3 linked regions of the Pelodiscus sinensis genome follow. The protein of the gene in region 1 binds, or shares a complex with, the protein of each later gene. Links are inferred from orthologs where the notes say so. Each region holds a gene or a part of one and is shown on either strand. Other genes may lie near its edges.

The links.
Region 2: STRN (region 1) and STRIP2 share a complex: the UniProt entries of both Homo sapiens proteins name them as parts of the core of STRIPAK complex. The link is inferred for Pelodiscus sinensis from reciprocal best matches to the Homo sapiens genes STRN and STRIP2.
Region 3: STRN (region 1) and PDCD10 share a complex: the UniProt entries of both Homo sapiens proteins name them as parts of the core of STRIPAK complex. The link is inferred for Pelodiscus sinensis from reciprocal best matches to the Homo sapiens genes STRN and PDCD10.

Annotation. Positions count from the first base shown.
Region 1 is NC_134713.1:137,172,224-137,179,201, forward strand, and holds the start of STRN (striatin), read right to left. Parts: upstream 3,046-6,978; 5' UTR 3,013-3,045; coding exon 2,743-3,012; intron 1-2,742. UniProt on the Homo sapiens protein: Calmodulin-binding scaffolding protein which is the center of the striatin-interacting phosphatase and kinase (STRIPAK) complexes.
Region 2 is NC_134711.1:4,396,681-4,404,455, reverse strand, and holds the start of STRIP2 (striatin-interacting protein 2), read left to right. Parts: upstream 1-4,746; 5' UTR 4,747-4,785; coding exon 4,786-4,902; intron 4,903-7,775. UniProt on the Homo sapiens protein: Plays a role in the regulation of cell morphology and cytoskeletal organization. Required in the control of cell shape. Calmodulin-binding scaffolding protein which is the center of the striatin-interacting phosphatase and kinase (STRIPAK) complexes.
Region 3 is NC_134720.1:37,052,279-37,059,952, reverse strand, and holds the start of PDCD10 (programmed cell death protein 10), read left to right. Parts: upstream 1-4,659; 5' UTR 4,660-4,796; intron 4,797-7,674. UniProt on the Homo sapiens protein: Promotes cell proliferation. Modulates apoptotic pathways. Increases mitogen-activated protein kinase activity and STK26 activity. Important for cell migration, and for normal structure and assembly of the Golgi complex.

The sequences.
Region 1 (6,978 bases):
CAAGGATTCCTATGGCACCTTAAAGACTAACACATTTATTTGGGCATAAGTTTTCGTGGGTAAAAACCACTTCGCCAGATGCATCTGACAAAGCGGTTTTTACCCACAAAGGCTTATGCTCAAATAAATCTTAGTCTAACACAGATACAAACTAACACAGCTATCCCTCTGAGACTTGTTACCAAATCGACAGATTATTTTCAACATGTGTCTGAAATAGACACAAATACAGATAATAAATCAGTAACTAAATGACAAATTCTGCAGTTAATCATTTCAGGTCAGACTAGCATGTGTCCTTCTCTTTCCCTTGTGCTCACAAGCACTTTTTAAAACTTGTACAAGGGAATCACCACAGACGAACATTACACCTGCAATCCTGTTCAGAAGACCTTCCTGATAAATCTCACAGGAAGGATTAACAAAATCACTCTAGTCCAACATATCTGTAGGTATCCACTTTATATCTGCAGATGCGGATCTTCACAGCTCATTTTTGTGGATGGGGATGCAGATACAAATTTTGTATCCATGCAGGGTTCTAAAACTCAGGAGATGCTCCTACCTATAAAAACAGGAAAGAAGCCTAAATTCCTGCACACTGGGAAAGGAATATGAAAAGAAAAGAGGACAAAGGGATAGGAAAGAGAAAACAAATAGGGAAACATAAAGAAGAGAACTTGGGGATAGCTTTTAATTTCAAATATGGTAACTTTGAGAACCAGATAGGTAGTTAATTAAGATTCTGGACAGAGATGTTTACGACAAATTCACTTTGCAACTGATCTGCAAGTGATTGGACAAACCCCTCTCCTATTACAGTTCTTACAGCATGTTAATCACAGTGGTAATTGAGGCTATGTATACGCTAGCACTTTTGTTGGTATAATTCATGTCACTCAGATTGTGGAAAAAAACACCCCCGAGAGTGACATAATTTGCACTAGAGTTGGGCAAACTCCCGTGGACCACATTCAGCATAGCAAACTTTTGTATCTGTCTCCCTCTGGGGAGCGAGGGCTTGCACTGCTCTGACCACCTGGCACTCCTCAGCCCCTTTCCACCATCTTCCACAACATGCAGATAACCATAAAGCACAGGCACAACTTCACCTTGCTGCTTCCAAGGTCAGAACCCTGCCCCTAAGTGGCAGCTCTGCCCCTGTGCTGCAGCACACCCAACCTCCTCCCGCCTCACCTTCAGGAACCTTCAAACCACTTAAGGGTTGCAGGTAGGGTGCCTCCGCCTGTGGCAATGCTTGATACAGCCACCTTGATGTCACTGCCAGCCATGCCTGCAGAAGTCCCTGGTACTGCTCCTACAGAATCTTCCCTCCACGCACCTCAGTATAGAGCTCCCCATGCCACACCTGATGAGTCCTCCCACCCACGTCAGGCAGTCATACAGTTTCCATACCAAGATGCGGCCCTTAGGCCAAAAAGTCTGACCACCCCTACAGATTCCATAGTGGGGGGAAAGCAACTCCCATACACAGAGCAGTTACAGGAGTTACCTTACAATGACATAGCTGCATTGGAACAGCTGTGCCACTGTAAGCCCTTTAGTGTAGACATGGCCTGAGAGTAGTAGCTCTAGATAGTTTGTCACTGACCAGAACAATAACTTCTTAGCCTAGGAAAGGATGAGAGGATGAGAGTACTCTTATCTAGCCTACTTTCTGTCCCAAGGAGCAAGTTGCTATTAGGCTTTGGGCCTTGTCTACACTAGGAAAATTAAGATGCTTCTTTTTTCACTATATAGCTACTCTGGGACATATCAATAGCAGAAACTGTAGCATAGTACAGACAATACTACAAAAGCAATAGAATATGCAGTAGTCAATGATGGGGTTACCCAATATGAAATTATGCACGGCAGGACTCTTGCGACACAGAGGCTGTGTCCTAAGTAGCAGCAAACTCAGCACAGATTGTAATCTTTTTCTCAGCATCCAACTACCTATGCACCCCATGGAACAAGGACTGCCACTCTTGCATGGGTCTTGTTAGCCACCGCCATACTGGCAAGCCATAAAACTGTTGTCAACATCTTCTACAGTCAGAAAGGTCAACAAGAAGAATTACAGTGCAGGCACTAAAGATGCCAAGGTCTTTCCTCCTCTACGCCTTCTATCATTGCTACCACTGCTGGAGGATTAAAGGTCCCAATTACTCTAGGATGGACAGCACCCAGAAAGAAACACATTTAACTTCTCTCCCCACACAAGAGGTGAGAATAGAAGGGCACGTGGCACCACCCCTCCTTCCTCGCTTCAGTGTCAGAAAGCAACAGAAAGAAACTGAAACGATTCCAAGAAACAAGGAGCGATAAAAGGGGAGAAATAAGAAACGGGTGGGACGGGACACGCCAAACCCTCGTGCAGCAGGGGGTCTGCAGACCAGCCACACGCTCACAGGTGAAACTGACAGGGGACAAGCCAGGGAGTTAGGACAGCGCTGCGAGCGGCTGCCAAGCCCCAGCCACGGCAACAGGCTCAGCGCGCTGCCGCTCCACGCGCGGGGACAGGAGCGTCCCCCACCGCGGGGCGGGCGTGCCGGGCCGGGGGCGCGGGTGTCACGCCCCCCACACCCACCCCACGCTGCGCGGCCGGGGCGAGGCCGCCAGCGCTGCCCTTTGCCAGCGGGAGACACGGGGCACTCAGACGCCAGGAAGGGGCGGCCGGGGCCCGGGCCAAGCCGAGCGGAGCCGGACCAGGAAAGGGGGGGGGGGGGGGCGCGTTACCTGCAGCTCCGCCCGCTCCGCCTCCCACTCGGCTCGCTCCGCCTCGAAGCGGCCCCACTCGTGCTGCAGGAAGTGCAGGATCCCGGGGACGCTGTACTGAGCCCGGGCCGCGGACACCGGGGCCGGGGCGGCCGCCGCCAAGGAGCCCCCCGCGGTCGCCGCCTCCCCCGGCTCCAGCCCCGGCCCGGCCCCGCCCGGCGGCGGCAGCAGCAGCGCGTTGTTGTTGTTGTTGTTGCTGAAGAAAACGCCGGGCCCCGCCTGCTCGTCCATGGCCGGAGCCGCCGCGTCCCGGCAGCAGCAGCAGCAGCAGCAGCCTGGGCGCGTCCCGCCCGCCGTCACCGCCGCCTGACAGGACGCCCCCGCCGGCTGCTACCGAGGCCCGGCGGGGACAACTCCGCTCCGACCCGTCCCGCGGCATTCTGGGAAATGTAGTTCCAGGGCCCTAGTCCCGCCTGGAAGCTGGGCGCTGGCGGGGCAAGGTCTCTGATTCTCTGACACAGGGTAGGATGCTTGAGCAACACAGAAAGCATCCCACCCTGTGCCAGCTCAGACCAGGGCTGTGGCTCCAGGCGATGGAAGTGAGCAGGCGCCTTCCAGGCAGACCCACGTTTGCATTCCTCCCTCAACAGAGGCTGGAGGAGACAATCCGTATTACCCTCACCCCAAAACCAAGCTCCGGCCCCTCCCCAAGCGTCTTGGCTCCCTGGGACCTGCTCATGTCACGGACAGACCTACAGAGCCACCGCTGTCAACAGCACCATGAAAAATGCCAAAGGAAATTAACCATTTGTCCCACCCCTTAGCCATGAGAAATGCTCCTATCTTCTGTAAGGTTGGATGGCACACTTAAGAGCTGGGAGAGACAGAGGCCAGCAGTTGTATTCAGAATAATCCCTTCCTTGGCAGCATGATAATAATTTCTACAAGAGCAACATAATGCAACTTTGCACAAAGCTAAGGCTGCTCCGTTCAGGGAAGCACCAATAGTACAAGTACTTTCTACTCCTGCCTCACAGTTAATATCCATTAGGTACTGAACTCAGGCCTTGGTGCAGCCTCTGCCCTGGGAGGCAGTGAAGCAAGTCTATTCACTGGTTACAGTGGACTTCAAAGACTAGAAAATAGAGGTAAGCACAGCCCACTCTCAGTTTCCACTACACAACTGGATTAAACTAACTTAACTTACCTTTGGTTCCCACTGAAGTGCCTCTCTGTGCTGATTTAGTAACACCACTTCCTAGAGCAGCGTCATGTCCGAGTAAGTCTACACTAGAGTTTTGTTAGAAAAACAACTGTTTTTCCGACAAAATTTGAGGAATGTCCACGCTGCAATTGCATTCTTCAGCAAGAAAATCGAAAGAACAGAGGGGTTTTTCTAGCATTGGTAATCCTCATTCTATGAGGAAGAAGCCTTTTTGTAAAAAAGCTCTTTCGCAAAAAGGCATGTGTGGAAAAAGGGAATTCTTTCGGAAGAAGGGGAAAGAGGAAAAAACACAAGTGCCCTCGTGACCATTCCATCCATAGCAATCACAGCTTACCTGCAAGAGAGCGTCCATTCAGTCTGGACACACTGCTTTTTCGATGCACTTTTGCAGTGTGGATGCTGTCTTTTGGAAGAAGCTTTTTTTTGAAAGATCTCTTCCGAAAAAAAGCTTTTTCCAAAAGAAGCCAGCAGTCTAGACAAAGCCTCAGTTTCAAGTAAGGACAACTTAGCTAATTACAAGGCAGTATTTACACTTTCAGGAGCCATCCCACTGTGCCCCACACAGACAATACAATAGATTCAAGCACTACTGGTGAGGACATACACCATCAACACAAGAAGCCAAGCAAGCACACACAGAAGCAATATAATCATGATGGTGCCTGTATATCGGTTGACAATTTTGTAGCATAGATATGTGGCTTCCTAACAGTAAGGTTAGGTTAAGGCTATTTAAAAAATGGCTGGAGTAAAAAACGCCTATGCCCTCAACTGTAAGGGGATGGAGACAGAGAACTGGAGCACAGAAAATTATGGCGCACCTTTCAGGCCAGTATGCAGTAATTTCTAAGTATGTGTGCTTTTTGTGTGTGAATGTGGACTGCAAGGGTGTGAATGCACCCCCCCATAGGGCCCCAAGAAGTGAGGAAATCAGCCGTCTTCCCCCAGTTGGTCAGAGCATGGGGAGGGAGGCTGGAGCAGCACACTGCTCCTGGCTTCTCCTGGCCAGCCAGAGCATGCTTACTTGGGGAACCACAGGGGACTGCTTTTGCACCCTTCATACCCCCACTGTGTATGGGCCAGCCTCTTCCCCAGCCTCAAGGAAGAAATTCTAAGGTGAACTGTCTGGAGTAGTAGGTTCAAAGACCTATGGTGGTGTAAGGCAGGAGTTCTCAACCAACATTCTATAAAAACTCCATGACCCATCTATGCTACAGCAACTGGGGTTTTTTTTTTTTTGGAGGGGAGGGGGGTTTACACTGGCATTAGGGCAAGCAGGGGAATTGTCCAGGGGCCCATGTCACAGGAAGCCCTGTAAAGCTAAATTGCTCAAACTTCATTTTGAGGCCCAGGCAGTTGGGCTTGGGCTTTCTGCCCCAGGTCCCAGTGAATCCAATGCTAGCCCTGCTTTCGCAGATCCCCTGAAACCTGCTCATGGCCCCTAAAGGGACCTTGGACCCCTCGTTGAGAACTATAGCTGTAAGGATTCAGCATAGGAGAACCTTCTGAGGACTGGTCTTCCCTGCATGGGAAGGAAAAGCAGTGCTGAGACGTGTAAAGCATCCCAGCAAACTTCAGAAGGAAACTTGCCTTGAAAGCTCTGTTCTCTCTAGCAGGAGAATGCTGAGGACAGTCATTGGACCATATTGCAGAAAGCGTCCTGGGAAACAGCCTCCTCGGAAAGGACAGTGGGAGCCTAAACTTCTAAAATGACTCGTCCAAGGGGATGGATTCAACAGTTGGTGTTTAAGGAGGAGGGAAGCTAGAGCCTCCTCCTCTGCTGTAGCTGCTATGGACCTCACAATGTGAGGCTTTGCTGCTTCTCTCAGCCTGGGTCCACTTAAAGACCTACTACAGATGCACACAGACATTAATAAAAGGAGCCTTCTTGAAGAGGATTGGGATTGCCAAATCCAGAATAAAGCTACAAAGGCCAAGAATATGTAAGAATATGGTCTTTTGTTTCAGCAAGACCAGACTAATACGGCTACATCTCTATTACTAAGAATACGTAAAGACACTAAACATGATGCAAGCTCTGTAAGCAATAGCAACATTCAGTATGTCACCAACTACAGTGTCTTAGCATAAGCTTAGCATTTCTACAGGCTTATCAATGGTGAAGGCACTGAGTAGTCCCAGAGACTTCACCATATTTTGCACAGACAAGGACTTGCTGCTGAGCTTCTGAAACCAGTATTTCCTGTTAGCTGCTGGCCAGCTGTCACTTCTTCAGAAGGCCAGTGCTTGCCTGCTTCTTTCCCCAGGAGTATGAGAGATCACTATAACTACACAGAGGAACATACTAGGCAATCCCTTCACTCTGGCCGAAGGGAAAAAAACCCTGAAGTATCTTGGAGAGAGAATGAGGAATAGCAAGGAAATGGGAAAAAGCAAGAGAGGTAAGAGAAAGGGAGCAAAAGAAGTGCGGGAAGAAAAAAGAAAAATTGAGAGAGGAAGTAGAGAGAAGGTAATTCGGGGGAAAAGAGACACTGAAAAAAAGACTATGAAAACAGGGAAAGTCATAATGAAGAACACAAAGGAAGAACAAAAGTGAGGAAGGCATGCCAAGTTATTTTGCTTTATAATCCAATGAAGGTTGGAACCAGATTATTATATTATTATATGAAATCATTTTTTTGCCTGAGGAGCAGGAAAAGGACAGAATCACGTGGATGGAAAATTTGAGAGGCTTGTTTCTAAACAAGCATGAGAACCCAGTATGTCTGTATGAGAAAAAGCCTCTCTTTTCATCTGCCACTCCCTTATCCCTCAATCGCTTTCTGAGCCTGTTTTCCCTTCAATTAACATTTTTTACCTGTTTTACATTTTTTTAAACTGGCTTCCTACAGCATTTCATTTTTGCTCGGCTGGCTCTAAACTCACATTTTAAAGATTTGTTTCTTTGCCTTTTATGAATTGCCAGTGATCTTGTTTAGTTAAAAAAAAAAATCAATTCTGACAGGAAAAAAAGTGCTAGGGTAAAACAAGACTCTTTTGGGGAAATTAGGAGACAACAAGAATTCGTTATG
Region 2 (7,775 bases), on another chromosome or scaffold:
TAAAGGGTTTGTTACCCGTTGTGTTCGTGCCTGAAAATCAGTTGCTATGTTTAGAACATAGGAACGGCCATATTGGGTCAGACCAAAGGTCCATCTAGCCTAGTGTCCTGTCTGCCGACAGTGGCCAATGCCAGATGCCCCAGAGAGAATGAACAGACCAGGGAATCCTCACATGATCCGTCTCTGTCCTCCATTTCCAGCTTCTAACAACAGAGGCCAGGGACACCATTCCTACGCATCCTGGCTAATAGCCACTGATGGACCTAACTTCCATGAATTTATCTTTGCTGAACTCGGTAAAAGACTTAGCCTTCACAACATCCTCTGGCAAGGAGTTCCACAGGTAGATTGTGAAGAAATGCTTCCTTTGTTTTAAACCTGCTACCTATTAATTTCTTTTGGTGACCCCTAGTTCTTATGTTATGAGAACAGGCAAATAACTTTTCCTTATTTACTTCCTCCACACCAATCATGATTTTATAGCCCTTAGAATCTCGGCAAGGGGCATGCAGTGAAGAGCTTCTACCTCCCTCCTGCTGTGTTCATTTTGTTCTGGGATCTCTGTCTCTTTTCCTACATGCTGCTGATTAAGTTATGGGTGAGCTCCATTATGTCTCTGGAAGGGGTGATGCCTTTCCACTATCTCTGATTCCAAATCTAGCCCCAGATAACCGTGGTTTCAGATGTGTAGAAAATCCTCTGTAGCCATCTATCTTCTCCACGAGGCCTGACTTTCAAGCACTGTCCCAAATCGTTACTAAGGAGGACAGGTAATAAACTCTCTTTACCTGGGTTATTGTGGTTTTAACCTTATGTCCACAGTCGCTTTGGCACCCTCAAAAGCAGGAGTGTTGAACATCCTCCCATCACTGTCCCAAACTGCCTGGAAGTGACCAGTCACTAGAAAACATGGCTCCTTGGCTCTGCAAAGTTGACATCCCCTGATGCTCTGATTCTGTGATTCTGACAGGAAAGGAAGGGTTTAATCCCGCTGCTGCTGGGCCTTAGGAAACGGACGATGAATGTGAGTGTGATGTAGTCCCCAGCAGCGCTGCTCTAGGAAGGCCTAGGACTAGTCCCTCCCGGGAACCAGCTGAGCCAGCGATGGGCAACCGAGGCTGGTGAGTGGCCGCAAGATTGTTGTCACCAAGACGCTCTCCCAGGATCGGGTAGTTTTGCTCACTGCACTTGCGTAGCTAGAATGTGCGGGGGGTGCCGATTGCACCGTAGCAGCGCTGGGACTGGCTGCAGAGGGAGCGCCCGGCGCTCACATTCAGTGTTGTAGCAATCAGCCTGCTCCTCACTCGACACACACGGGCGGGTCACTTCAGTAATAGTGGTAGGGAAAAACCGACACTGACAAAAACCAGCAGAATCTGGCAGCCCTGCGTGTGGACAACAGTAAACAAAATGTCTCGTAGGCTGCACGTAGAGCCCTGATGTGCCGCAGGCTGCCTGCCACTATGCTAAGCTCTGGAAGCCTGGAGTGGGGGGGGGGGGGGGGGGGTTGGGGTTTGTCCTTTCTCTGAGCACTGGAAGAACATTTCATTTTGGCAATGGGCAGGCAGCCAGAGACCCCTGGAAGACTCACAAGGGCAGGATCAGGTCCCCTGTCTGGTCAGGCAAAATCCTGCAGAGCCCCAGTGAACTCATTTGGAAATGTCTGGAATGTGATACAACGATGCTGAATAGTCTCATTCCTCGGCCAGAGATGCTGTGTCACCGTGGACGCTGCTTTCTCCACTACAGACCTTCCCGTCCTGCTCCCAGAGTGCTTTGCAGCACTGTGAAGAAAGCGTGGTCTCCTTTTACAGCTGGGGAAACTGAGGCACGGAGCCACACAGTGACTTTGGCAAATAGTCTAATTCTGTTTTATATTTCTTCAGTCGCTATTACTGCTCTGTCTGTGGAAAGACACAAGGGGCAGTTCGCATCCCCACGGCGCTTGCAGTCCATTCCTAGCCAAGGAAGATGGTAGACAACTACTGGCAATAAACACTTTTAAATCCACCCGAGTAACTTGCCCCCAAATGCTCAAAATGAGTTGGAGATCTCTCGCCGCCTGCTGTTCGTTTTTAGTAAGTATTGGAGCCGGGGCAATTCCAGAACACTGGTAGAAAGCTAATGCTGTGTCGGTACTCAGGCAGAGCCGATACAGGACTCTAGATAAAGAATTAATGAACAGGAATATAATTAATGACAGTCGACATTGTTTTATGGAAAACAGGTCTTGACAAACAAACCTGATTTAATGCTTGGGGGTTTGAAATTAGATGCAACATATAAAGGCTTTTGAAAGGTGTTTGACTTAGTACCCCACGACAGTCTGATCAGAATTGGCAGTCCCCCGTAGTAAGAGAGCACATGTTAACTGGAGTAAGAAGTGGCTAACGGAGCTCACTCTGTAGCTGTCACTGGAGAATCACCCGCTCGGGTGTTTTGGGGGGGAGGTTGCAGCGATTGGTATTTGGACGGCTTCTGTGCAATATTTTCAGCAATGGGCTGGAAGCAGTGTAAAAGTGCTGCTGATAAAATCAGTGGCTGACACACAGACTGGCCAAGTAGCACAAGAGGTCAGGAATTCGTACGGAGCCAAATGCAATTTGCCTAGGTCTCAACAAAGATGCTAATTTCCTTACCCATTACAAAGATAGCTTCCCCAATTATCACCTCTAATATCATTAGCTCAGACATTAACCTCCCCACCTCATCCCCCCTCTGTTCTGAAATGTGATTTGTCCTTTTTATACGTGTTCACTTTTTTTGATTGTATCCCTTTGGTATATATGGTCAGGCCAATTTTCTTCCACAATTTGATCTGAGGAAGTGGGTCTGGCCCACGAAAGCTCATCACCTAATAAACCATCTTGTTAGTCTTTAAAGTGCTACATAGTCCTGTTTTTTGTTTCAGCTACACCAGACTAACACGGCTACATCTCTATTACTCTTGGAACAAGGCATGGAGACCATGGCGGATGGGAAAGCCGTGCCTTTGAAAAAGCTGTACAGGGGTCACAAGGGACAAGCTTCCAGGTGGGTGATGCTGTGGCAAACTGGGCTAGTGTGTTGTGGGGTCTATAACGGTGCTCAATGGGTGAGGAAAGAGATGCAAACAATGTTAATGGGGGGTGATTAGGGAAGTGGTGGGTTCTCCTTCTCTTGGTGTTTTCCAATCAAGACTGGAAGGTGTTTTTGTCAAACACAAGTGGAGGGGAAAATGTAATGGCTGGTACTGTGGAGGTGACTTCACATAACCTGGTGCTCCCCTCTGGCCTTAAAATCTAGGGGTTGCCCAAAGACACACACAACATCTCCATCAGAATGAAGGCGGGATCCAAGATCAACGGACAGTGAGAGAGGCAGATACAGCGAGCCCTACTGAGTTTCTTGGGGGGGGGGCCGGTTGAGAAGTTAAACTGAGATCCCCTCTGCTCGGTGTTTTTATCACCACCTTGGCCATTTGGACTGAAATTTCTGCCCGTCCAGTTCTGCGATGCCCTTCTGGCTTTCAGCTTCCAACCACAGGCAGCTGTTGTGACGGGACAGACTGAGTCCCTCTGGTTCACAAAGGGCATGGGAACCCGGCCTGAGGAAAAGTGCTGTGGCCACAAGGGAGAAAAAGCCTAACCCTGTGACGCCCTGTCTCCCCTTTCACACGCCCTGGCGTCTGCCTCGTTTCCACCACTGCCCTGAGAGTGAATCCTGCTCTGCGGTGGCCATGTCTCTAACTCCTGCCACATCCCACCTGCTGCCACAGGCCTTCTGTCCCTGGGGGCAGCAACCTCCCTCCTTCCCCTTAGTGCCCGCGGCCTTTTCACACCGTCCCAGCTGAGGCCCCAGCCTCTCCCATGAGAAGAGCCACACTGGGTCAGACCAAAGGTCCATCTAGCCCAGAGTCCTGTCTGCTGACAGTGGCCAATGCCAGGTGCCCCGGGGAGACGGGGGGAAGTGAACAGAACAGGGAATCATTAAGTGATCTCTCTCCTGTCACCCATTCCCATCTTCTGACAAACAGAGGCTAGAGCCACCATCCCTACGCATCCTGGTTAATAGCCATTAATGAACCTAACCTCCATGAATTTATCTAGCTCTATGTTGAACCCTCTTCAAGTCCTGGTCTTCACAACATCCTCTGGCAAGGAGTTCCACAGGTTGTGCGCTGTGCAAAAAAAAACCACCTTCCTTTTATTTGTTTTAAACCTGCTACCTATTCATTTCACTTAGAGACCCCTCATTCTGATGTGATAGGAACAAGGAACTTTGCCTTATTCACTTTCTCCACACCTGCCATGAATTTATAGACCTCTATCATCTTCCCCCTTAGTCTTCTCTTTCCTAAGCCGAAAAGTCCCAGTTTTTCTCTCTCCTCATGGCACCTGTTCCAAGCCCCTCATCATTTTCGATCCCCTTCTCTGAACCAAGGTGCCTTTTGTGAGCGGAGGCGCCCACCCACCTGCAGGCAGCATCCAAGCTGTGGGCGAACCGGGGCTTCATACAAGCTCCGCTCTGTCCCCTTTGAAGCGGCGCCCACTGCTCCTTTACCCTCCCCTGGCTGCAGCTTGTCCCCCAGCCCAGGGCCAGACCACATGGTCTAGTGGTCACCCCAGAGTGTCCTCTCCCCCCAGCCCCGCCCTGGCAGCCGCTCACGCAGCCAATCGGCGCCTAGGGGTGTGTCCCCGGCGGAGACAGCCAGCCAATGGCAGCGCGGGGGCGTGGCGAGTCCCTGGGTGGAGGGGGGGGGGGGTTCAGCCTGCACGTGCTGGCGCGGGCAGGGCAGAGGGGCGCATGGAGGAGACCGGGGCGGCCAGCAGCGCCCTGCCCGGGGACGGGGCGCCCGGCAGGGGGAGGCCGCTGCAGGCCAAGGGGCGGGAGCTGTTCAGGAGCCAGCGGAAGGAGTCCGAGGTGAGAGAGGGGGGGCACCCACCCCCCGTCCCTCTGGGGGACCCACCCACCCCCCCGGGCACTCAGCCCCCCCGGGAACCCACCCAGCCCCCCCGGGCACTCAGCCACCCCCCGTCCCTCTGGGGGACCCACCCAGCCCCCCCGGGCACTCAGCCACCCCCCGTCCCTCTGGGGGACCCACCCAGCCCACCCGGGCACTCAGCCACCCCCCGTCCCTCTGGGGGACCCACCCAGCCCACCCGCCTGCCCCCCCTGGGAACCACCCAGCCCCCCCGGGCACTCAGCCACCCCCCGTCCCTCTGGGGGACCCACCCAGCCCCCCCGGGCACTCAGCCACCCCCCCGTCCCTCTGGGGGACCCACCCAGCCCACCCGCCTGCCCCCCCTGGGAACCACCCAGCCCCCCCGGGCACTCAGCCACCCCCCGTCCCTCTGGGGGACCCACCCAGCCCCCCCGGGCACTCAGCCACCCCCCGTCCCTCTGGGGGACCCACCCAGCCCCCCCGGGCACTCAGCCACCCCCCCGTCCCTCTGGGGGACCCACCCAGGCCCCCCGCCAGCCCCGCCTGGGAACCACCCAGCCCCCCCGGGCACTCAGCCACCCCCCCGTCCCTCTGGGGGACCCCCGCAGCCTGCCCCCCTGGGGATCCACCCACCCCCCCGTCCCTCTGGGGGACCCAGCCAGCCCCCCCGAGGGCACCCAGCAGCCCCCTGGCCCCCCCCAACCCCGCCGGCGGAGGGGCCCGCCCCGTCCCGGGGAGCTGCTGGCGGGGGTCCCGCGGCTGCCCTGCGCCTCCTGCCCTTTGCTCGCAGCCGCGCGCGGGGCCCGATCGCTCCCGGGCGGGCGCCTCCCCGGCTCCGGCGACAGGTGCCTGGGGCGCTGCGGCTCCCCGCGGGGCCCGGGCAGGGGGCGGCCCGTGGGGCGGGGAGGTCGGGGCCGCTGCGGGCTCCCCTGCCCGGCTCGCTTTGCAGCCCCCGCCCGGAGGCGCGGCCGGGCCGGGACGTACAGGAGCAGCTGGGGTCGGCGCCTTATTGCAGCCTCGCTGCAGCTCCTGGCAGCCTGGTGGGGGAGGGGGGCTCAGACAGCAGAGGACTGAAGTGGGGAGGGACTTGTCAGCCCCCCCCCCCGGGAACCAGCGCTGCACCCCCAGATCGGAGGGGCGCTGGAGGAGGCAAGTTTTCTCCTCCCGCACCTAGTGGCAGGGCCATGAGCTGGCACCGGGGTGGTGGGTGCACCCTCGCTCTAGAGATGCACCGGCTGGATGACGCCTGCTGCGTAATGAGCCCCCCGGGAAGTGGAGATGGGGGGGGGGACCTGTCAGTCTTCTGCCAGGTTGGGGTGCTGCCTCTCGCCAGGCACTGGGAACCTGCCCTCCTCCGGTGACTTCATAATTGTTCATTCCGGGGTTTCTTCCTCCGAAGCGCCGGGCCGGGGCACTTGGAGCGAGGCTGCTGAGTAGATGGATGCGGGCAAGCCACAGGTTGGGCGATTGCTGCCGAGATCGTGAGCAGCATTCACACTTGGCTGCATGGGCGACTCGTGGTAGCACCCAGGAGGAGCACTGCCCCCCGCCCACAGGCCCCTGTCAAAATTCGGATTGCTAACCGGGGTGTTCCCTCATGCCCCCTCCTTGTTCCTCTGGCTGGCTCTCCCTGCACTCCCTCCCTCCCTTGCGCTTGATGGAGCCTGCTGGATGCATGGCAGCTGGAGAGACAGTCCAAGAGTTTATGCTGCTGACGGGGCACGGGGGCAGATGCGCATTGGAAGGATGCACACGCCAGCGTTGGGGCTTGCCAGACCCGCCAGCTGGAGCGTAGATTTTAAAAGGAACCGGTAGCGTGTTAACAAGAGGGGGTCACTGTGGGAAGGATTCCGGGAAGGGGGGGGCGAGGAATTGACGGCCATTGTGTGGGATCAAAGACGGGTCCCTCTTCCAGCATGGGGGAGAGCGACGAGGCGCTCGTGGGGGAAAGAGCAGGAGGGCGGAGAGGGAGGCCGGAATGGCAGAGGGCAGGGTCTCGCTGAGATTGATGAAAGGTTGATTTCACAGGTGCAGGAAGGGACCGTATGTCTAATAGTGCAGCACCAACGTCCTGTTCTTCCCCCCCCTCCCCCCGCAAAAGCCAGCCTGGGCTGGCTGAAGGTAGCGCAGTGGGGCGGGTTCTCCGGGGGCCTCACGGGTAAGTCAGCAACCTCCGGAGCCTGGGATGGAGGATTCGAGTTCCCACCAGGCTGACGCTCTTCGGGGGCTCTCTAGCTCTGATTGGGGGCATCTCGTCTCCGCGGCTTCTCTTCGAAGCCAGCACTGAGCCAGAGCGGAGCTCAGCCGCTGCTCCGATTAGATCTGGGTACGAATGTGATGGATGAGAGATGCCGGACACGCCGGGGTGATCCTGCGTAGTGAGAGCTCGGTGCGGAGAACATTGGTGGACGATAGGACGCGGTCTCTGAATAGTCTCGTTCCTTCGGCTGTAAAAACCTGCCCTATCTGTTCTCTGGCGTTACGGGTTGGAAACTTTAGTTTAACCATCGCTGCTCCTCGGGCGTGGCCCTGGCCAAAGTGCAGGTGAGGCGTCTCTTTCCAAGGCGCACCCCGGTGGCCTGGGCAGACGGTGGAATTCTGGCCTTGGGACACAACCTTTCAATCCGTTTTCGGGTCAGAAGTGCAGCGGTCGTTTTGGTTTAGCCGTCTCTGCCGGGGGGATTAACGTTTGCAGGCGCCACTACTTAGCCGAATTCCTCTAGAGCTTTAGTGCGCCGACCGTAGATGGCCAGCGCGCTGGATTTGGTCCCCGCGTTGGTTGTGTGCTGTCGAGGCTCCCTGACGGCGTGAGATCAAAAGTCAGAGCTGGAAGGGAGGGTCAGGCAGAGCT
Region 3 (7,674 bases), on another chromosome or scaffold:
GGCAGCGGACAGCCCAGACGCGTCTGGGCTGTCCGCTGGCCGCGTGCTCCGCGGTTTTGCTCTGCTCTGCTCCCCCTGGGGACGGGGAGCAAAGCAGAGCAAAGCCGCGGAGCCCGAGGGCAGCAGGATAGCCACAGCGCGTCTGGGCTGTCCCGCTGCCCCCGTTCTCCGCGGCTTTGCTCCTGACGCCTGTGGTACAGCAGCTGGGGCGCTGCCGGTTGGTCCCGTAGCGCCACTCTGGGTGGCGCTGGACCAACCCAGCAGCACCCCAGCTGCTTTGCCCCAGGTGTCCCCAAGTCAGCCGCTGCTGCAACCCCGGGCTTCCTGGAATCAGCTGCTGATCAGTTTCAGCAGCAGCTGACTTGGGGATGACTGGGTTTCTTAAGTTGAATCTGTATGTAAGTCAGAACTGGCCTCCAGATTCAGCCGCTGTTGAAACTGATCAGTTTCAGCAGCGGCTGAATCTGGACGCCAGTTCCGACTTACATACAGATTCAACTTAAGAACAAACCTACAGTCCCTATCTTGTACGTAACCCGGGGACTGCCTGTAATAATAATAAAAAAAGAACCAAGTGAAAAACTACTTAGAAAAGTCAGATGTCTTCAAGTCACCAGGGCATGATGAAATACATCCTAGAATACTCAAGGAGCTGCTAGAGGAGATATCTGAGCCTTTAGCTCTCATCTTTGAGAAATCATGGACAGCAGGAGAGATTCCAGAAGACCGGAAAAGGGTAAATATAGTGCCCATCTATAAAAAGGAAAAATAAGACCAATCCAGAAAGCTATAGACCAGTCAGTTTAACTTTTGTGCCAGAGAAGATAATGGAACAAGTAATTAAGGGATTCATCTACAAACCTCTGGAAGATAATATGGTAATAGAAATCCATGCTGGCTGTTGCCTACTACCATAAGAACAGCCATACTGGGTCAGACCAATGGTTCATCTAGCCCAGTATCCTGTCTGCCGACAGTGGCCAATACTAGATGCCCCAGAGGGAGGGGGACAACGGGTAATCCTCACATGATCTCTCCCATCATCCAGCCCCGGAGAAACAGAGGCTAGGTATACCATTCCTACCCATCCTGGCTAATAGCCATTGATGTACCTAACCTCCATGAATCTATCTAACAGGGTTCAAAAAAGAGCTGAAGTCCTAACCTTCACCATGTCCTCTGACAAGGAGTTCCACAGGTTGACTGTGTGCTGAGTGAAGAAAGAACAAATTATGTCAAACCAATCTAACAGCTTTCTTTGAAAGGATATCAAGTATTGTGGTTCTGTTCAATATCTTCATTAAGTATTTAGATGATGGCACAGAGAGTATGACTATTAAGTATGCAGATGATACCAAGCTGCTTTGGAGATAAGGTCAAAATTCAAAACAAATTGGACAAATTGGAGAAATGGTCTGAGGTAAACAAGATGAAGGTTAATAAGGACAAATGCAAAATACTTCACGTAGGAAGGAACAATCAGTTTCATACATACAGACGGGGAAGCGACTGTCCAGGAAGGAGTACTGTGGAAAGGGATTTAGGGGTCATAGTGGACAACAAGTTAAATGAGTCAACAGTGTCACACTGTTGCAAAAAAAAGCAAACATGATTCTGGGATGCATTAACAAGAGCGTTTGAGCAAGACACGCAAAGTCATTCTTCTGCTTACTCTGTGCTGATTAGGCCTCAGTTGGAGTATTGTGTCCAGTTCTGGGCACCACATTTCAAGAAAGATGTGGTGAAACTGAAGAAGATCCAGAGAAGAGCAACAAAAATGATTAAAGGTCTAGAAAACATGACCTATGAAGGAAAGCTGAAAGAATTGGGCTTGTTTAGTTTAAAAGATATAAGACAGAGGGGACACAATAGCAGTTTTCAAGCATCTAAAAGAGTGTCACAAGGAGGAGAGAGAAAAATTGTTCTTGTCTTCTGATGATAGGACAAGAAGCAATGGGTTTAAATTGCAGCAAGGGAAGGTTAGGATGGACATTAGGTAAATCTTCTTGTCAGGGTGGTTAAATACTGAAATAAACAGCCTAGGGAGGTTGTGGAATTTCCATCACTGCAGATATTTAAGAGCAGGTTGGATAGATATCAGGGATGATGTAGATCATGGGTTCCCAAACTTTGGGGATGCCCCCTGGAGGTGCATGAAGAAATTCCAGGAGGGGCACAAGACATCCCAGCCCCTTCCACCCCCATCAAGTTTTGCTGCCCTGGTCAGTTTTTTTTTTTTTGCGCTCAACAATTTTGCTGCTAATTTTTTTTTCGGGGGGGGGGGGGGGCGAAAATGAGGGGGTCTCAAAAAATCAAAAAGGGGGCATGAATATAGAATATTCTTCTATATTTTTAAACAGAAGTTTGCATTATTAAACAACTTAATTTAGAAACACACAGTTTATTGTCCTTATGCACATGTAAGAAACAGTTTATGTCTGTCTCACCCCCTCCGCCCCACCCACACATCCTCCCATTGATTTGTTTTGTGGACTCTGCAAAGCACAAGACACTTCACCCAATCCGTAGCCCTCCCCCCCATCCCTTCATAGGGCTTACCAAAACAAGACCTACCATTACAACTATAGAAACAAATGTTTTTGGGATGCCAAATGAAGTTAAAAGCTATTAATGATATTAATATTTTTGCACATTACACAAATTTGAGGTCTTCCTCATCAATAATTAGAGATGTGCATTAATTGGTGTTCAATGGATGACACAAAGGTTAAAAATAAAACAAAGCAGGGCACAGTGAAGGGAATACCTTTATTTTCTAATTAGAGCATACCACTGAGTTACCATCCTGTGTATGGCTTTCATTATGCATTCAGTTATTGGGACCTAACAGGTGATGCACGGTTCCATGTTGTGTTGTAGTTCCAAATACTTGAGATCTCTGTTTCTACACTGCAAAGTTGGAGCTTGTATGGCATGTATGGTGTTCCATAGACAGTCCCTTTTTGTTGCTAAAGGGAAACTATTAACCATTGGCTATATCATCACTTACCCATTCATTCAGCTGTTGTAAGCCTTTCATAGGAAAAGTGCCATCATTATCATTTTATACAGTATTCTTAAACTCTTTACATAGAGGTAACAAATTTAAGACACCTGAATTTAAAGCCAAATTTTTGACATGTTTAAGTTTTAATGTTAAAGTTCAAAAGCTTTTCTGTAACAGTAGCTCTTAGTAACTAACCAATGTTAGCATGGCTTAAACAGGGAAAAGGATGGACTTAGAACAATGATATGATTTTGACCTTTACAGTACCTTTGATTTAAAAATATGAAATTGCTTTACATAATTATAATACTTTTATTAATAACAAGTGTTACATACAAATTAGTATCTAAAATAATTAATATACAAATAGTCTGGTAAATATACATTGGCAGAGGAGGCTAGTCATTCTATTGAGATGTCAAGAGATGTGTGAGATTCTGAAGGAGGGAGATTTCAGATATGGCGTGTTGTGTATTTTAGTCACAAAATACAAAAGTCTTCTGTTACAAAGAGAAAGTAACTTTATACTCAAATTGAAAAGTTTTTCTACTGATAGGGTACACTTACAAACTACATATATGCACACACAGATTTTTTATATATATATATATATATATATATATATATATATATATATATATATATATATATACACACACACACACACACACACACACACTAAAGTATCCACCTGTTTTAAATACTACCTCTGCACTCATTCTCAAGTAATTTAAAAGTGAACACCTATAATTAATTTATTTTATTTCTTTTTCAGTTTTAAGAACTTCTTCAGAGTTCTAAATAGCTTTGCTGTAGAAAACAACACATCCTGAATCGTATCAACAAACAACCGATGCTGGTCCCAGTTTACAGTAATTGACACAGTCGTAAGGCAAGTACAACAAATCCACGACTCCGTTCTACAAATCTATAAGGGATGTGCATACACAGTCTATAAAAAACATTAGAGCGTGAAGAAAAACCGTTTTATTTAATACGGTAAAAGATTTTAGGGGTGGCGACCAACCTATCCCTAGACGAGGTAACAAATATCGACAGCCGGAGCCAGGAATTTATTTCACACGTTGTGAGCGAGCTGTCTGAACAACTGACAAGTGAAGTGGGTTTAAAGCACTCACACATACACTGCACACGCACCAGTGTTCAGCCATAGTCAGAGGGAGACTTTCCAACAGCTCCCTACAAATGCAACGCAAAGTCAATGGACGTGCAAACATTTAGCATGCAACAAAACAGAGAGTCGGCGAAAAAAGGATTTCCTAGGGCGAGGAGCCCACCGCAAGCAACCAGGTCGCCCGCCCAGCCAAGTAACTGATAGCGCTTACCTCCCTCGGAGCGGTTCTGCAGCAGCTGCGAACGCTAGAACGGGGAGCCTGCCGGTGTTGGAGCAGCCTGTGGTCCAGAGACCGCTTCAGGAATTGTTTCTGTGGCGTCTGCCGACGCCTGCAAATTCTCACGCCTGCCCCGCCCCTTTCGGGACCACGCCCCCTCGTCTAGTCCGGCACTCCAATTGGGCTAGCTCTGCGACGACTCCTCCTCCAACTCTTCCTACTCCCCCCCTTCTACGCCGCAAGCTGGCCCTCGCGTTGCCTTGTGGGCGTTGTAGTCGTGTGGAACGGCACTACAGGTCCCAGGAGCCCATGCGGCTTGCAGGTTGGTTCCGGCAACGCCTGGTGTGTGTGGTCACCGCGGGGAACGTTTCCGTCTCGCAGGCACTTCCGGCAAGGCAGCGGAGCCCACTCTAAAGTCCCCGAGGGGTGGGGGGGAGGTAGGTACCGGGCTGTGTGTGCCCCCTTTTCGGAGGAGGGGGGGACGAGGCGCTCGGTGCCCACGGCTCGGGCAGGGTCACTAGTGTGTTTGTGTAGGGCCTGCTGATTCCCTCGCGGCTGCGCTGCGCTCGGGGCGTAGGGCGCCTTGGAGAATCCGGGCCCCGCCTGAGGGTCACGCTCAGAGGGGCTGTGGGTCTCCAGTGGGGCGGGGCAGGCCACGCTGTGGAGGAGGGGCTGGCCATGCCCAGGGCCTGGGCTCCTAGGGCTGGGGGCGGGCGTCTCCCCCCGGCAGAGAGCAGCAGGCGGAGGTCAGCCCGTGCAGGTGCACAGCCGGACCCGAGCCCGGGGAGGCTGCCCTTCGGCCCTGTCGCCAGGCTTCGCTCTGCCCCCGCCGCGTGCCGGAGGCTAAGGGTGTAGTGCTTCTGGCTGGCGCTGTTCCGCACCCGTCTCCCCTTTGGGCCACCTCTAAGGGGGCCCGATTTTCGGACGGAGTAGTTTCTGAATGGCAGGCTGAGCATCCTCCCTCACTTGGAAAAAAAAAGTCTTGGTCTGAGTGCATCTCTTGTGTGCCCTTGGCATGGAATGTTTGGAAACGGGGCCTTGGTTTGATTTACTAGTTTGTAAACTATTTTCAGGACCTAATGATAGGAGCAGCTTCTCTTTTGTAGTTGGTTTGGTTTGGGTTTGCGGGTGGGGGTGGTTGTTTTTTGTAACGCCAATCTTCTAGCAGTGTGTATGAGAAGCCGAAAGTGAAACTGACCTATTTGTTATTCCAGTTTAATAAGTGGCAAAAAAAAGCAAACAACGTGAATGATTAGTTGCTTTTTCAGTTTAATAATGGAAGAGGAACATAAGGAAAACTTAAAACAGGCGAATTTATGACCTTCCAAAGTGTCTACAAGCAGTATCTGTAACTCATGCTTGGTTGATTTCCCCTCCTCCAGCATGACAGTATCAGGGTCAAGCTTTTGTGTTGCTTCTGTATTACAGGAAATAAGTTCACCTGAAGAAGATCTCTGTGTGGCTTGAAAACTTGTCTCTTGCCATCAGAAATTGGTCCAATAAAAGATTCCCTTCTTGTGTCAGCTTCACAATTTACTTGGTGGGCTGGGGTAATATTGAGATTAGTGTTACATAATGGTTTTTCTTAAATATCTGTTCTATTTTACTTTCTAGCTGCACCTGATTAAATCTCAGAGATAGCAACAGTAGCTTTATGTTCAAATTCCAGAGACTGAATAGGTAGAGAGAACTTGATCTAGAAACTGGTGTATATTGTCACCTTCTCCATGTTCATTGCTGGGATTACATTGCATCCATGATGATAATCTGTTGCTTTACTAAATAAAGGTGTGGGATCTTTGCCGATTTATACTTTATGCAGTCACTTTAATTTGACTATGTACAGAAATTGGAGCCCACCCTAAGATGGCTTTCTTGTGTAAGGGATAGATAGAGGTAAACATAGTTCACTTTTAAAACATCTGCCTCTTGACTGTGAGGTGTTAATCTCACATTGGTGTTCACCATTTCAGAATAATGTATTTATTGGAATGGGAGTAAATTGCAAAACTGGTGAGATTCAGATCAGTTTTTTAATTAAGTAGACTGTAGGGATGAGTAACCAGTTACCCAATAAGCATCACCTTTACTGGGTGATCCTTACCGGTAACTGCTTAACCAGTGGCCCAGCTGGGCTAGAGCAACCACCTGCCCACAAGATCCTGGTTAAATAGAACGTTTAACATTCTTTTTAACTGGTTAACTTTTTAACCAGGATTTTACATCCCTAGAAAACCAGTGGTTTGAGTTCCAGGGACAGATATTCATGTTTCCTTTAAATGGTTTGCACAATCTAAATGGTGGCAGTCAGTCATATTCAAAACAATAAAGTGTACCTGATTTCCGATATGCAGTTACATTTTTATTGTAAGTGAACACAGTTATATTTATAAATGCTTCTATGTTTTCTATATAAGTATAACATTTTTGGAGACATGTCTCAATAATGACTGTAAGGATATAAATTACCTGATTTTAGTTGGTTTTGCCAAGCACATAAAACTTTATTGAAATAGCTTATTGTCACATAGCTTAAGTGTAGCCATAAGTGGAGGATCTTTACTTTTGGAAAGTTTTTGCATAAACCAGTTTTGAAACTTTAATGGGGTATTTCACTTTCTGAAAACATTCTTTTAGTTCCCTGATCAATGAAACTGCTCAGTGTGTGAGGCAGGGTAGGTGAGAATCTATACAAATAAATGCTTATTCCTTCTTTTATTTTATTTTCACTCAGATTAGCAAAAATTTAATTACAGTGGCTGAATTTGTCTTGGACTCATGTTTGGTAAAATCATTCAATGTTGTTCCAGTGAATGCAACAACATTTACTCTAACTAAACTAAATTTTCATTCAAAAATAACAGGTCCTTCAAAAGTGCATTGATCAGGAGGTTTGCTGCAATTTTTCCTGAAATGAAGAAAAATTTAGTATAGTGGCTTATATTTTGTCCAGAGTTGGTTAATCATTTACAAACCTGAGTACAGTTTAGTTACTCATAAAGTTGAAACATGATTAAAACAAACCAATGTTATTTTTCATCAAATCACAAACATTGCCACCTTGCCTTCACTTGGTGGCTGAATCAAGCTCCTCCTGATAGGAAATTTCTGATTACAAAGATAAAAGCCAAGCTTCCTGATTCTATGGATGGAGGATAGGGTCTACTCAGGACAAATGTTTTTTCTCTAGTTGAGTTTAAGCCAGTGACAGTAGAAATGTTGGGGGTTATTGTTCCTCAACCTGACCTCTTTTGAATTTTTTTTTCTATCTAGAGAATTTGAGGAACCAATTAGTGCTTCCCATAGTGAGGGTAG